Linked DNA regions of Mus musculus. The protein of the gene in region 1 binds, or shares a complex with, the protein of each later gene. Links are inferred from orthologs where the notes say so. Each region holds a gene or a part of one and is shown in the gene's direction. Other genes may lie near its edges. The genes, in order: Cnot9, Cnot7 and Cnot8.

Region 1 (3,648 bases):
TATTCACTGTGTAGCCAAGGCTGGACTCAAGTTTTATGCAATTCTCCTGGTAATTATCTAGGGCTTTCCCCTTTATATAAAATGAGAATAATGGTAGGTACTTTGTGGACTCAATAGGAAAAGTGAAGCCTATAAATAGCCTTTAGAAAAAAATTCTGATGCCAGGCGTGGTGACGCACGCCTTTAATCCCAGCACTCGGGAAGCAGAGGCAGGAGGCCAGCCTTGTCTACAAAGTGAGTTCCAGGACAGCCAGGGCTACACAGAGAAACCCTGTCTCAAAAAAACAAAAAAAAAAAAGAAAGAAAGAAAAAAAATCCTGACATAGTACTTGTTCAGTACAATAACATTTGTTCTGATTGTGTGATGCTTGATAAAGTTATGTAAAATGTGCAGGGTACTCCGCTTATGTTATGCTTTGAGTGCTGATCATGCCTAGATGTGTGGACAGTAGTCACTTAAATGATAAGTCTGAGCAGCTCTTTAGGCATCATTCATCTTTGTTTTGCTCCAGGTTGCCACATTCATACTCCAGAAGATCCTCTTGGATGACACTGGTTTAGCTTATATATGTCAGACATATGAGCGTTTTTCCCATGTTGCCATGATCTTGGTGAGTTCTTTCCTTTACTCTCTTTGCAGTTTACTTCCATCACAAAACTTAGTCCCTTCGTTACTGACCCAAAACTTTGTCTTCTAACTAGAAATAACACTTGGCCAGGTACGATGGTATATGCCTGTCATCCTAGTATCTATAAGGCAGAGGGATGCAAGAGGATGCCTGTGGGCTTGGAGCAGCAGCATGGGTTTCTCACCAGCCAAATGAAGAAGTAGTGTCCTAGCCCAAAAATACTAGCTGGAATGGTAGTGTGTGTCTTTAATCCCAGAGCTGTGGTAGCAGAGGCAGGCAGATCTCTTTGAGGTTGAGTCCAGCCTGATCTATATAGCAAGTGCTTGGCTAGCCAAGACTACAGGAAATATAGAGACCCTTTCTCAAATGGGGGGGGGGGGGGTAACGGAAACTTTATAATGATTCTTAGATGATCTGGTCTCTGGTGTCATTTCGAATTACTTTGTGACTTTTCCCCCCCTACCTTTGTTTTGGGTAAAACAGGGTAAAATGGTCCTGCAGCTATCCAAAGAACCGTCAGCCCGTCTGCTGAAGCACGTAGTAAGATGTTACCTTCGACTCTCAGATAATCCCAGGTAAAGATTTAATAGGACTTAGAAGATTTTGTCGAAATAGTATCATGAATGGATTCCAGTGTTATAGCTCAGATCTTCTGTCTTGAGAATTGGAACGCATATAACTTTAGTTTGTCTAAGACAAACTTAAGTTCCGGTTAAAATTTAAAATTCTGACTTTAAAATGCACTAGTTAGACCTTCCTCCTGTTGTAACTCTGTCCTACCCTGAAATTCCCGAAAGCCCAAGCAGTTTCAAGGGAGGCTGGTGTGGTGTGGGCTTTCTGTGGCTACTCCAGGTAATCAGAGTACTTTAAAGGTCTCTTGCAAAGTCCTGTAGCCTAGAGGCTTTTTTAGCTTGCAGTTCTCTGCTTCCTGTAAGCTGTTGAACTTAGTACTTTTTCTTGGTGGGTTCAAGGACTCTGCCAGAATCTTGCACTTTGTAGATGTAATGCACTTCAGAAATGTTTGACCTTCTCTCCTACTAATCCATAATTTATGATGAAAGCTACATGTTCAGATTCTGCTAAGCCACATAATGGAGTGCTTTCTGAGTTCCTGAGAATCAAGTGGCTTGTCTCTAGCCAGTGGGGTTATTTGAGCCCTAGCTATTCTTTGATCATTTGTCCTGTTTTTCAGTACCTCCCAAGTTTGGAATATACTTATTAGAAATTACACCTGTTTAAGTATAAGAGCTGTAACTGTTCAGAACAGCTCTGTATGGAAAATAATTTCATTTCTCATAAGCTATGTCTAATGGTATTTTGACAGTATTTATCATTAAATCAGAACAGTTTGGAGTGAAATATTGCATCATATTATTCCATTTTGCTTTTGCATGAAGTTCTGCATTGAGGTGTGGTAAAAATATTTGTGGGCTACATAACACCTGCTTTAAAGATTCTAATAGTTTCATGGTGTAACTTGATAGCCATGGATTCCTAGGAAATTGTATATTTATATCTAAGAAAGGGGGTCTTCCCAGCTCCCAAATATGGGCTTATGTGTTGTCTTTCTGATGTAGGGCACGTGAAGCACTCAGACAGTGCCTCCCTGACCAGCTGAAGGACACAACCTTTGCCCAGGTGCTAAAAGACGACACCACCACGAAACGCTGGCTTGCACAACTGGTGAAGAACCTGCAAGAGGGCCAGGTCACCGATCCCCGGGGGATTCCCCTGCCCCCTCAGTGATCCTCGTTCCCTCTCACTGCTCCCCTTTGCTGGGGAGTGAGGGTGGAACCTATGAGGAAAACAGCTCAGGTTTTATTGCTGGGAATAGACAACCTCAGTGCTGAACTGTACTGGAGAAAAGGGGCAAGGTACCCGCTGAGGTGTGTGGGCTGACTGGAGGTCCTGGATCCCCCTACTGCTCCCAGGAATTGGGCTCCTGACAGCAGTCTGCTACCACAACCCCAGGCGGGTGTCAACACCAGCAAATGCTGTGTTTGCAGCATGCCCAAGATGACCCTGCTCCTGAACCTCTACCTAGCCACTGGTAGAGAGAGGAGAGAACGTGGTAATGGCAGCAACACTCTAGGCATGAGAGCACCGGGGACCAAGCCATGTGGCTTTTTTTTTTTTTTTTTAAACTTTGCCTTCCTGGACAACTTAAGGTGTGTCTCTTAATTCTCTCTTACAGTATTTGTTTACTTTGGATTTTTGTTTTTAATCTCAAAAGAGAGAGATGTGTTTAATGGACACAAGCTGTAGTTCTCAGCAAAACTTTGTCAGTTGGCACTGTTTACAAGTCTGTTAGCTGCATAAGCTCAATAAAAAGTTGGTCTGGGCATTGCATCCCCTCTGACAGACCGATAGCTGCATCAGGCTGTTGGGTGGAATGGGAGGCAAGGGAATAGGAAAGCCAAAGGCCAAGCAGGAACTCTGTGCCTGCTCTCTGCTCCTGTTCTTTCCCTCCCATACCTGGCTGCTGTGAGGACACTCACCTTGTTCTGGCTTCAGCTGCTAGCCTACCCACATCTCAGCGCTTTCCCCTTTTTTACCACTTAGACTTAAAGCAGGTGTCTTAATTTACTCAACCTTCCCTAAAAGAGAATTGTATTGGGGCAGGAGGGATCGCAGTTCTTCAAATTCAGGTCTTCGAAGATAATTTCCAGGTGTCTTCTCAAACGGAGTAAGCGCCTGGATCCAAATGGTAGACTACTTGACCCCGTTCTCTAGCGTGAGTTTTCATAGTGCCATCTCCTCATGATTGTAGAAGCAGCTGAATGAGTTTCTTCAGATTTAAAATGAATAGCTGGACTCTGCTGGCTCAGTCTCCTCTCCTTTTTAACACACTTTCTTAGGTCTATGGAAACTACAGGGTTGCCACTGAAATGTTTTTTTACTTGTTGATAGTGTCAGGGCCCCCCTTCCATCCCCATGGGCTTGACTCTCAACCTGTTACTGTAAACTGCGATCCTTCCCACCGTCAGCCTTTGTTTCTCATCCTCACCTCCAAAGATGG
Region 2 (3,648 bases), on another chromosome or scaffold:
ATCTTTTAGAAAAAAAAAAATTGCTAAAGCTCCAGAAACATACTTGATCATTAAACAGTCTGCTCTTATAAGTGGTATTCAGTCTGCCTAGCATGTTTGTATAATTAATTTTCTGCTTTGTTACTACATTTTGTGTATTTGTTATAGCTAGTCTATTTTCTTGGGTTTTTTTGTTTGTTTTTTTTCGAGACAGGGTTTCTCTTGAGACAGGGTTTTTCTCGAGACAGTGCGCCACCACGCCCAGTGCTAGTCTATTTTCTTGATCCACACAATTATTAGCCCTAGAAGGCGATATTTCAATGTCTTGCACCTCTATCCCTGGCCCACTTCACGTCTAGCTTAATTTTTATAGAATCCAGTAATTGGCTGGTGGTTGTATTAAATTCAGCAAATTTTAATTTCTTTGCTGTCATATTGACTTACTATTTTTTTCTTCCTCTTCCTCCTCCTCCTCTTTTTTGTTAGCCTTAATTTGAATGCTCATGCTAAACTAATACATAATTTTACTATCACAATTTAAAAAGAAATGCATCTCTGTGGATAAACAGGAATTTCTTTGTATAGCATACCATTCAGTAAGGTATGCTTGTCCATAATTAGAGCTGAAACTTTCTGTCTCGGCAGGGACCGTTATTTTTATGAGCAGCAGAAATTGTTAGTGGTCATTTATATCTCAGATAATAAGGAATAGCTGCATTACAGAAAGGACAGCTTACAAGAGAGAGTGTGACTGTACACAGAAAACACCTGTGCTAACTAAAGAAATGACATTAATGAGACTTTTTCTTTATTTTGGTGTCTCACTGCTTTGATTGGAAAGCACAGGGTACTTTTTAACTTTTAAATCAATCTTTCATGCGGGTTGAGTTTAGTAATGTAATGCTATAAGTGTAGTTTCATATGCCTACTCCTTAGGAATCAGTTTATGATTTTTCTTTTCCTTGGAAATAGCCCAAATATTTGCCTGAGTTTATTATGAGTTATCAGTACAGGATAGTAATTTATGGATAAATTTCAAGAAAAAGTAATTTAAGTTTATAGAATATTGAGGTCTGATAGGTAATGCTGTTCATGCTTATAAAATAAGCATTGAGTGTGAACATACAGAATTTCATTGTCATAGAATTCTCTGACTTGTATCAAAAATTTCCTGAGAGTTTATGGGTTGTATTTATGACCATTTAGTAAACAATTATCAATTATTTTACAGGACACCGAGTTTCCAGGCGTTGTTGCAAGACCCATTGGAGAATTCAGAAGCAATGCTGACTATCAGTACCAACTGTTGCGGTGTAATGTAGACTTGTTAAAGATAATCCAGCTCGGACTGACCTTTATGAATGAACAGGGAGAATACCCTCCAGGAACGTCAACTTGGCAGTTTAACTTTAAGTTTAATTTGACGTAAGTGGGAAGTAAATATATAACCTCAGTGTCCCTGGAAATGTACTAAATACAGAAATTCAAAAGTTTAGGCTTATTATTACGAGGCAGTTGTAATTGCTTCACAGTTAGAAAGATAATAAAAACTTTCTAATTTCAAAGACTTTAGTTATAGAGATGTTATTTTTAAAATATGATGGTCATTTTTATGGAAAGTTGTGAACCTGTATTTGTGTTGCTGTTTCTGTTGTGTTTGTCATTGTTTAAGGTGCTGCAGATTAAACCTGGGGCCCTAAGCATGACCCTTAGGGTATTGATTTGACTTTTACATTTTGCTGTTGTTTTGCTTTTTTGAGACAGTGTCTCATTACATAGCCTAGGCTGGCCTGGAACTCTCTATGTAGACAATGCTGGGCTCAAACTCCCAGAGATCCATCTGCTTCTGCCTCCCAAGTGCTGGGATTAAAAGGCTTGTGCCACCACACATAGAGCTTTCACATTTGTTTTTATGCCCAACTTGGAATACATATGATTGGGGTGGCGCTTTGCTGACTAAGCAAGCGGGTACCACTTAGCTACAACTCCAATCTACTGTGACTTGTTAAGATAGTTATTATTCCTGTGAAGAAACTATTATTACAGTCATACTTTGCATTCTAAATACTCACCACGTGTACTAAGATATTTCTTGGGAAATTGGGGCTATTTTCTTTTCAAATTCATTTTCTCTAAAGGGCTATTCCAATGCAATCCTCAACCTCTTAATCTACATACAGAAAATGTAATAGTATTGAAGCTTGCATATTTACCAAAACCTGATGTCTACCTCAAATCTTGGGTATAAACTATTTCTTTAGTTAAAATAGTTCTACATTAATTATTACAATCTTCATAGCTGAGGGAACTGCATGAAGGTGAGTCCATCCTTTTGACACAGCATCATTGGCAAAGTTTATGCTCAAGAACCATGCATTTGGATTTTTAAAATTTATATATACACACACACACACAATGTTTTAAGTAAGTTTGCCACATTTATAACCATTGTGGAGTTCATATGACTTCTGAGCTTCAGGATATAAGCGCCTAGTATGAGGCAGGGGCATATTACTGCTGTTCAGGTATGGAAATAAAATATATAGTATATTCTGTACTATGTTACAATATTGTGGTGCCCTTCTGCTTGGTAGCCTATATTTGTATAATATGATCAAACATCTGGTTTGAAAAATAGCAACAGAAAATGATAAGAAAATCAGTGCTAGTGTAAGAATTCTTACATGAGAATGAGAATTCTTTCTTCATTCCTATTTTTTGTTGAATATGTACAGTTTTATGTTAGACCTAATGAATAGCAGGACTGATGGTTTTAGAAGGCAGTAGTGTAAGCGATGCAGTTGTGTATCTTGAAAAATGTGTTGTTACTCCTCTAAATAATCCTGATAGTATTTTAACATCTAGTACTGTCCTGACAGTCCCTATAGACCCTAGAAAGGCTAACGTGCTCATCCCCACTGTCATTTCATAGTGCTTCATGAGTACTACAGCTTTGGAACAGGTGAAAATGTCCTCCCATGCTCTCCTCAAATGATTACTGTGTTCTTTAGTTTTTTCCTATTTTAACTTCTTCAGGGTTCTTTTTACCCCTCAAATTAATCATCATAGCATTGGGTGTTGTTTGGTTTTTTTGTTTTTGTTTTGTTTTTTTATATAAGATACTCAGTTTGTGACTGGGAGCTAATATCTCAGGGTATTAGTTGGTAAAGCTGGTAGTCTTCATTGCAAGGATGGTAATTTTTGTAGCAGTGGCTTTTCCATTATTCTCCAGGAACATTTGTTTTTTTCTTACTCAGACAAAACTAGTTTTACCGCCAATTTTGCTACTATTTCTACTAATGGTAACATCATAGGATGGTAAAGAAAAGAGTGCATTGGCTGGTGAGGTGGCTCAGTGCTTAAGTGCCTGCCATCATGGTGGATGATCTTAAGTATGATGCTCAGGACTCACATGGTGGGAGAGAACTGAATATGTGTCATATGATGGACATGTGCAGGCGCGCGCGCGCACACACACAATGAAAATTTTAGGCTAAAATTTTTAAGAACATAGTGAAAAATGTTAATGAGAACAAAAGCCTTTGAGAAGATAAAAGTAGTACTGCATAATGTGGGAAGCATCATAATAGCATCTTAGACGTGTTGAAGGATGGTGGAAATTGACCTTGTTGAATGCCTAGAAGGAGCGTGTTAGTGCACTAGGCTCTG
Region 3 (4,148 bases), on another chromosome or scaffold:
AGAAGCTCTAGGTGAAGGGTGTGTGTGGGGGGGAAGCCAGGTGTTTCCTGTTCAACTCTTTCAGAGCACACCAGGCCTATTGGTGGCAAGAACCCCCCCTCCCCCCAAATTCCATGCTTCTCACATGACTAGCACATGCTAGGTCCACCCTCTCCTGAAGGACTCAACGGCTGCTCCTCACATGACTAGCACATGCTAGGTCCACCCTCTCCTGAATCGAATCACAGAACAGAGCAAGGACATGCACTGAACAGACTGAGGGAAGGCAGTGTCTACCTAGCCTAGACAACCCGAACACCTCAAAAGAGGCCAGCCCTGCAGCTAGTCCCATCAACATTGTTGCAGGGAATCCACCGCAGCTACAGTTACTGACTGCCCAGGCCTGGTTCTTTGTGGTGACGGTTGTGGCTTGGTCTAGGGTTTCATCCTCATCACAGTCTTGTGTCTCTATTTACAGATCCTGGAGAGAAACAACAAAGGCTGGGCTTCAGAAACTGTCCCTGACATCGTTACCCCAGAAGCTGGCTGTGCGATTTCACAGTTTGAAAGGCTAGCTCTCATTTAGTCAGTAAGTCCTATTTTGGGGATTTCTTCTGGAATAAAAGTTTAAAATGAAAAGGGCAAAGTGACTGGGAGACGGGATGTCAGAAGGGGGACACCTGCTGTATGCTTACCTACGGCCCCTAGGAGAGGAAGCACCAGGGGAGGGGAGGCGCTCTTCGGAGGTCTTAGTCTTCTTGCCCCGTGGGAAAGCACGAGGTGGCGATACATCCCAGCATGGCCTCGCTACCAGCGAACCCCCTACTCTCCCTGACTGGCCCCTCTCTCTCTGCACTGACCCACAGTGATACCAGGGACACAGCGGACAGCACAGGCCCCGGAGCAGCGCTGCTTAGGCCGTCCAGGTTCTGGGAGGCAGTGCTCAGCTGACCTCATTCATGACTCGGTTTGGTGGCGCTCTCCCACCCCTACCTAATGGTCATCCAGAAGGGGTTCTGTGAATAGATGGTCAGTGAATGAGGGGTTCAGGTTGCAGTAATCGAGGGTCAGGACACCCCATGTGCCCTGCATCATCACCTACAACCAACAGTCGTAATATGCTCTGATGTTAGGAAGTGGGGCCAGTTCTAGATCCCGTCCTTTCCCGAGGCGCGACTCATGATACTCCAGAACCTAGGCGGGGACCAAGTTTACACTGCTAGACGCCGTTTGAGGCCTCAGGGCAAACCTCGTTTTACGCACGCGCCCTCCGCCAAACCCAACTTTCTCGCTCTGCGCCTGCGCAGGGAGGCGGGGCGTAGGTATCTGAGCGCGCACGGGGGGACGGAGCCGAGACCGGCGGGACCGCGCACGCCTGGAGTGACGCGGAGAGTAGGCGAGTCGGGAGGGCGGACGGGTAGAGTGGTGCAACCTCTTGGTTTGGTGCCCATCGTCGGCCGCTCTGGGCGCCAGGACTCACGTCTCCCTGTCGAGCTGGGTTTCTGGAGCGGATCCGGGGCAAGAGGGAGGAGAGCTCGGGGTCAAGGGCCGCTGCCGCCCGCACTCGGCGGGGCCGCCAGCCAGGGTAAGCAGGTTAGGTTGCTTACGGTAGGAGCAGGAGGCGGAAGTGCCTCCGTGGCGACCCATCCTACACACGGGAACACTGAGGCACAGAGGCTACGGGGCTCTCGGTCCCCGGAGTCCAGCCTGGAGGCCTAAGGAATGGTGGGGGAGGCAAGAGGCCGCTCTGCTTGGCTCTTGGGGTGCTGCAGCTTTGCGTGGCAGGGCCGCCGTCGCGGAGCCAGCAAGCTGGATGGGGTGCCGTCTAAGTCCAGGGCTGTGGCCTGGAACGCTCCAGAGGGGACCTGTTGCCATTTCTTCTAACGGGCCGCTGCTTCCTCCTGCGCCCGTCTTGCACTGCTAAAGCCTTTTGTTTAGTCTTCTGGAACAGGGAAGTGAAGCTGATTGTCTCCCAGACGCTCTGGCGCAAACAAAAGCCGACGACGAGCAGGAGACACTCAGTGGAACTGAGTTCTGCACGGCTAGCAGGGAGAGCGTGGTTTCGTGCGTTCGCACTCCTCGCTCTTCAGAGCCCACCTGGGTGCACAGACACCCTGCTCCCAAGTTTGGATAATCAGGAGCGGTCACAACAGATTGCTTGGCAGCCTAGGGTGTGTGTGTGTGTGTGTCAGTGTTTTTGTGTCTGTGTGTGTGAGAACACAGGGCAGTGTGTGTGTGTGTGTGTGTGTGTGTGTGAGAACCCCTTTCTTTCCCTTTGTAGTTTCAAATGTAGCTTGGTTTGGGGATCGAGTTTTAAAGCCAGCCTGTGAGGCAAACATTGCATGGGATCAAAATTTTCCTTTAAGGGAGAGATCGCACAGCTGTTGATACACTCAACCCTCTCCCCCTCACACTCATAAAAATAAATCTTTAAGGGAGAACGCAGCCTCAACCTCCGAACCTTCCTGAAGAATTTTGAAGGATAATTTTTTTAGGGTTTAATGTTTATTAATGTATGAATTTATAATTAATATCACGAGTGTGTTGGTGGAAAAAATAGGCCGAAAAGGCGTCAACATTCTCAGGGGCTGGAGTTACAGGCATTTGTGAGCCAATTCACATGGGTGCTGGAAACCAAACTCTGGTCTTCTGGAAGAGCAGCAAGTGCTCTCAACTGCTAAGCCATCACTCCAGCCCCATTCTTCTTTAAGCTATTATTATTGTTATTGTTATTATTTATTGTGTGTACACAAGTGCCAAGTTGTCCATGTGGAAGTCATATTTGGGGTTTATGTTCTTTTCTTCTATCAAGTGAGTCTGGGGCTCAAAACTTAAGTTGTTCTCAGCTTGGCAGCAAGTACTGGTTGCATACCTCCAAGCTGCCTCCCTGGTCAGTTTAGTTTGCTTTCTTTCCTTCTAAAAACAGGGTCTCAGCTGGCGATGGTGCTGCACGCCTCTAATCCCAGCACTTGGAGGTTGAAGCAGTTAGATCTCTGAGTCCAAGGCCAGTTTGGTGTGCACAGCCTGGGCTACATAGAAAAACCTGTCTCAAGGGCGCACACCTTTAATCCCAGCACTCAGGAGGCAGAGGCAGGCGGGTTTCTGAGTTCGAGGCCAGCCTGGTCTACAGAGTGAGTTCCAGGACAGCCAGGGCTACACAGAGAAACCCTGTCTCAGAAAAAAAAAAAGAAAAAAAGGAAAAAAAAAAAAAAAGACAGTTGTGAGCTGCCATGTGTGTACTGGGATTTGAACCCAGGTCGCCTGGAAGAACAGTCTTAATCACTGAGCCATCTCTCCAACCCTGTCTCAAAGGACAAAATGGAACAATGAAATAAAAGCAGGGTCTTCTCTGATTGTAGCCCAGACTGGCCTCAAGTTCCTGGGGATTCTCCTTTCTCAGCCTCCCGAGTGTGGGACTGCTATCTTACTTCTCAGTATATATAAGTCAGGATGTCAGTTTTTTCTTTGAGTTGTGAAATTCATTATTGTTCTTCTGGTTGAAACCTCAGTAATGAGGTTACCCCAGGGGCTGTTGTTACACAAATAACTGTACTTGAAAACAGAATTCTGAGGTATGGGAACGAGAGGGTGATGAAGAGAAGGTATCTTGGAGCCTGAGCTTCTTGGGTGGAAAGTGGAGGGAGGGCGTTAGTCTGTGTTGAATTGCTGTGTTCTCTCTTCCCTGTGGCCAGCATGCCCAGGAAGTTCCTTTGCTCAGTTAAATGTGCATTATATGGTCTCTCTCATATGCCTGGGAAGGATTCCTTGTGGATCTGCCTGATGATAGAGTCCAAAGCCGAGGCTGATCTGGAACAATCTTTCTTCTTCTTCTTCTTTTTTTTTTGTTTTTTGTTTGTTTTTGAGACAGGGTTTCTCTGAATGGCCCTGGCTGTCCTGGAACTCACTCTGTAGACCAGGCTGGCCTTGAACTCAGAAATCTGCCCGCCTCTGCCTCCTGAGTGCTGGGATTAAAGGCGTGTGCCACCACCTCCCGGCTCGCTTGATGGCTCGCTCTTTCTTCCTTTCTTTTTTTCTTTCTTCCTTCCTTTCTTTCTTCCTTCTTTCTTTCTTTCTTTCTTTCTTTCTTTCTTTCTTTCTTTCTTTCTTTCTTTCTTTCTTTCCTTCCTTCCTTCCTTCCTTCCTTTCCTTTTTCTTTCCTTTCTTTCCTT

What was found.
Region 2: Cnot9 (region 1) and Cnot7 share a complex: the UniProt entries of both Homo sapiens proteins name them as parts of the CCR4-NOT complex. The link is inferred for Mus musculus from reciprocal best matches to the Homo sapiens genes CNOT9 and CNOT7.
Region 3: Cnot9 (region 1) and Cnot8 share a complex: the UniProt entries of both Homo sapiens proteins name them as parts of the CCR4-NOT complex. The link is inferred for Mus musculus from reciprocal best matches to the Homo sapiens genes CNOT9 and CNOT8.

Annotation. Positions count from the first base shown.
Region 1 is NC_000067.6:74,526,480-74,530,127, forward strand, and holds part of Cnot9 (CCR4-NOT transcription complex subunit 9), read left to right. Parts: intron 1-512; coding exon 513-611; intron 612-1,112; coding exon 1,113-1,204; intron 1,205-2,206; coding exon 2,207-2,375; 3' UTR 2,376-3,648. UniProt on the Homo sapiens protein: Component of the CCR4-NOT complex which is one of the major cellular mRNA deadenylases and is linked to various cellular processes including bulk mRNA degradation, miRNA-mediated repression, translational repression during translational initiation and general transcription regulation.
Region 2 is NC_000074.6:40,505,211-40,508,858, reverse strand, and holds part of Cnot7 (CCR4-NOT transcription complex subunit 7), read left to right. Parts: intron 1-1,210; coding exon 1,211-1,404; intron 1,405-3,648. UniProt on the Homo sapiens protein: Has 3'-5' poly(A) exoribonuclease activity for synthetic poly(A) RNA substrate. Its function seems to be partially redundant with that of CNOT8.
Region 3 is NC_000077.6:58,102,645-58,106,792, forward strand, and holds the start of Cnot8 (CCR4-NOT transcription complex subunit 8), read left to right. Parts: upstream 1-1,325; 5' UTR 1,326-1,564; intron 1,565-1,584; exon of another isoform or gene 1,585-2,150; intron 2,151-4,148. UniProt on the Homo sapiens protein: Has 3'-5' poly(A) exoribonuclease activity for synthetic poly(A) RNA substrate. Its function seems to be partially redundant with that of CNOT7.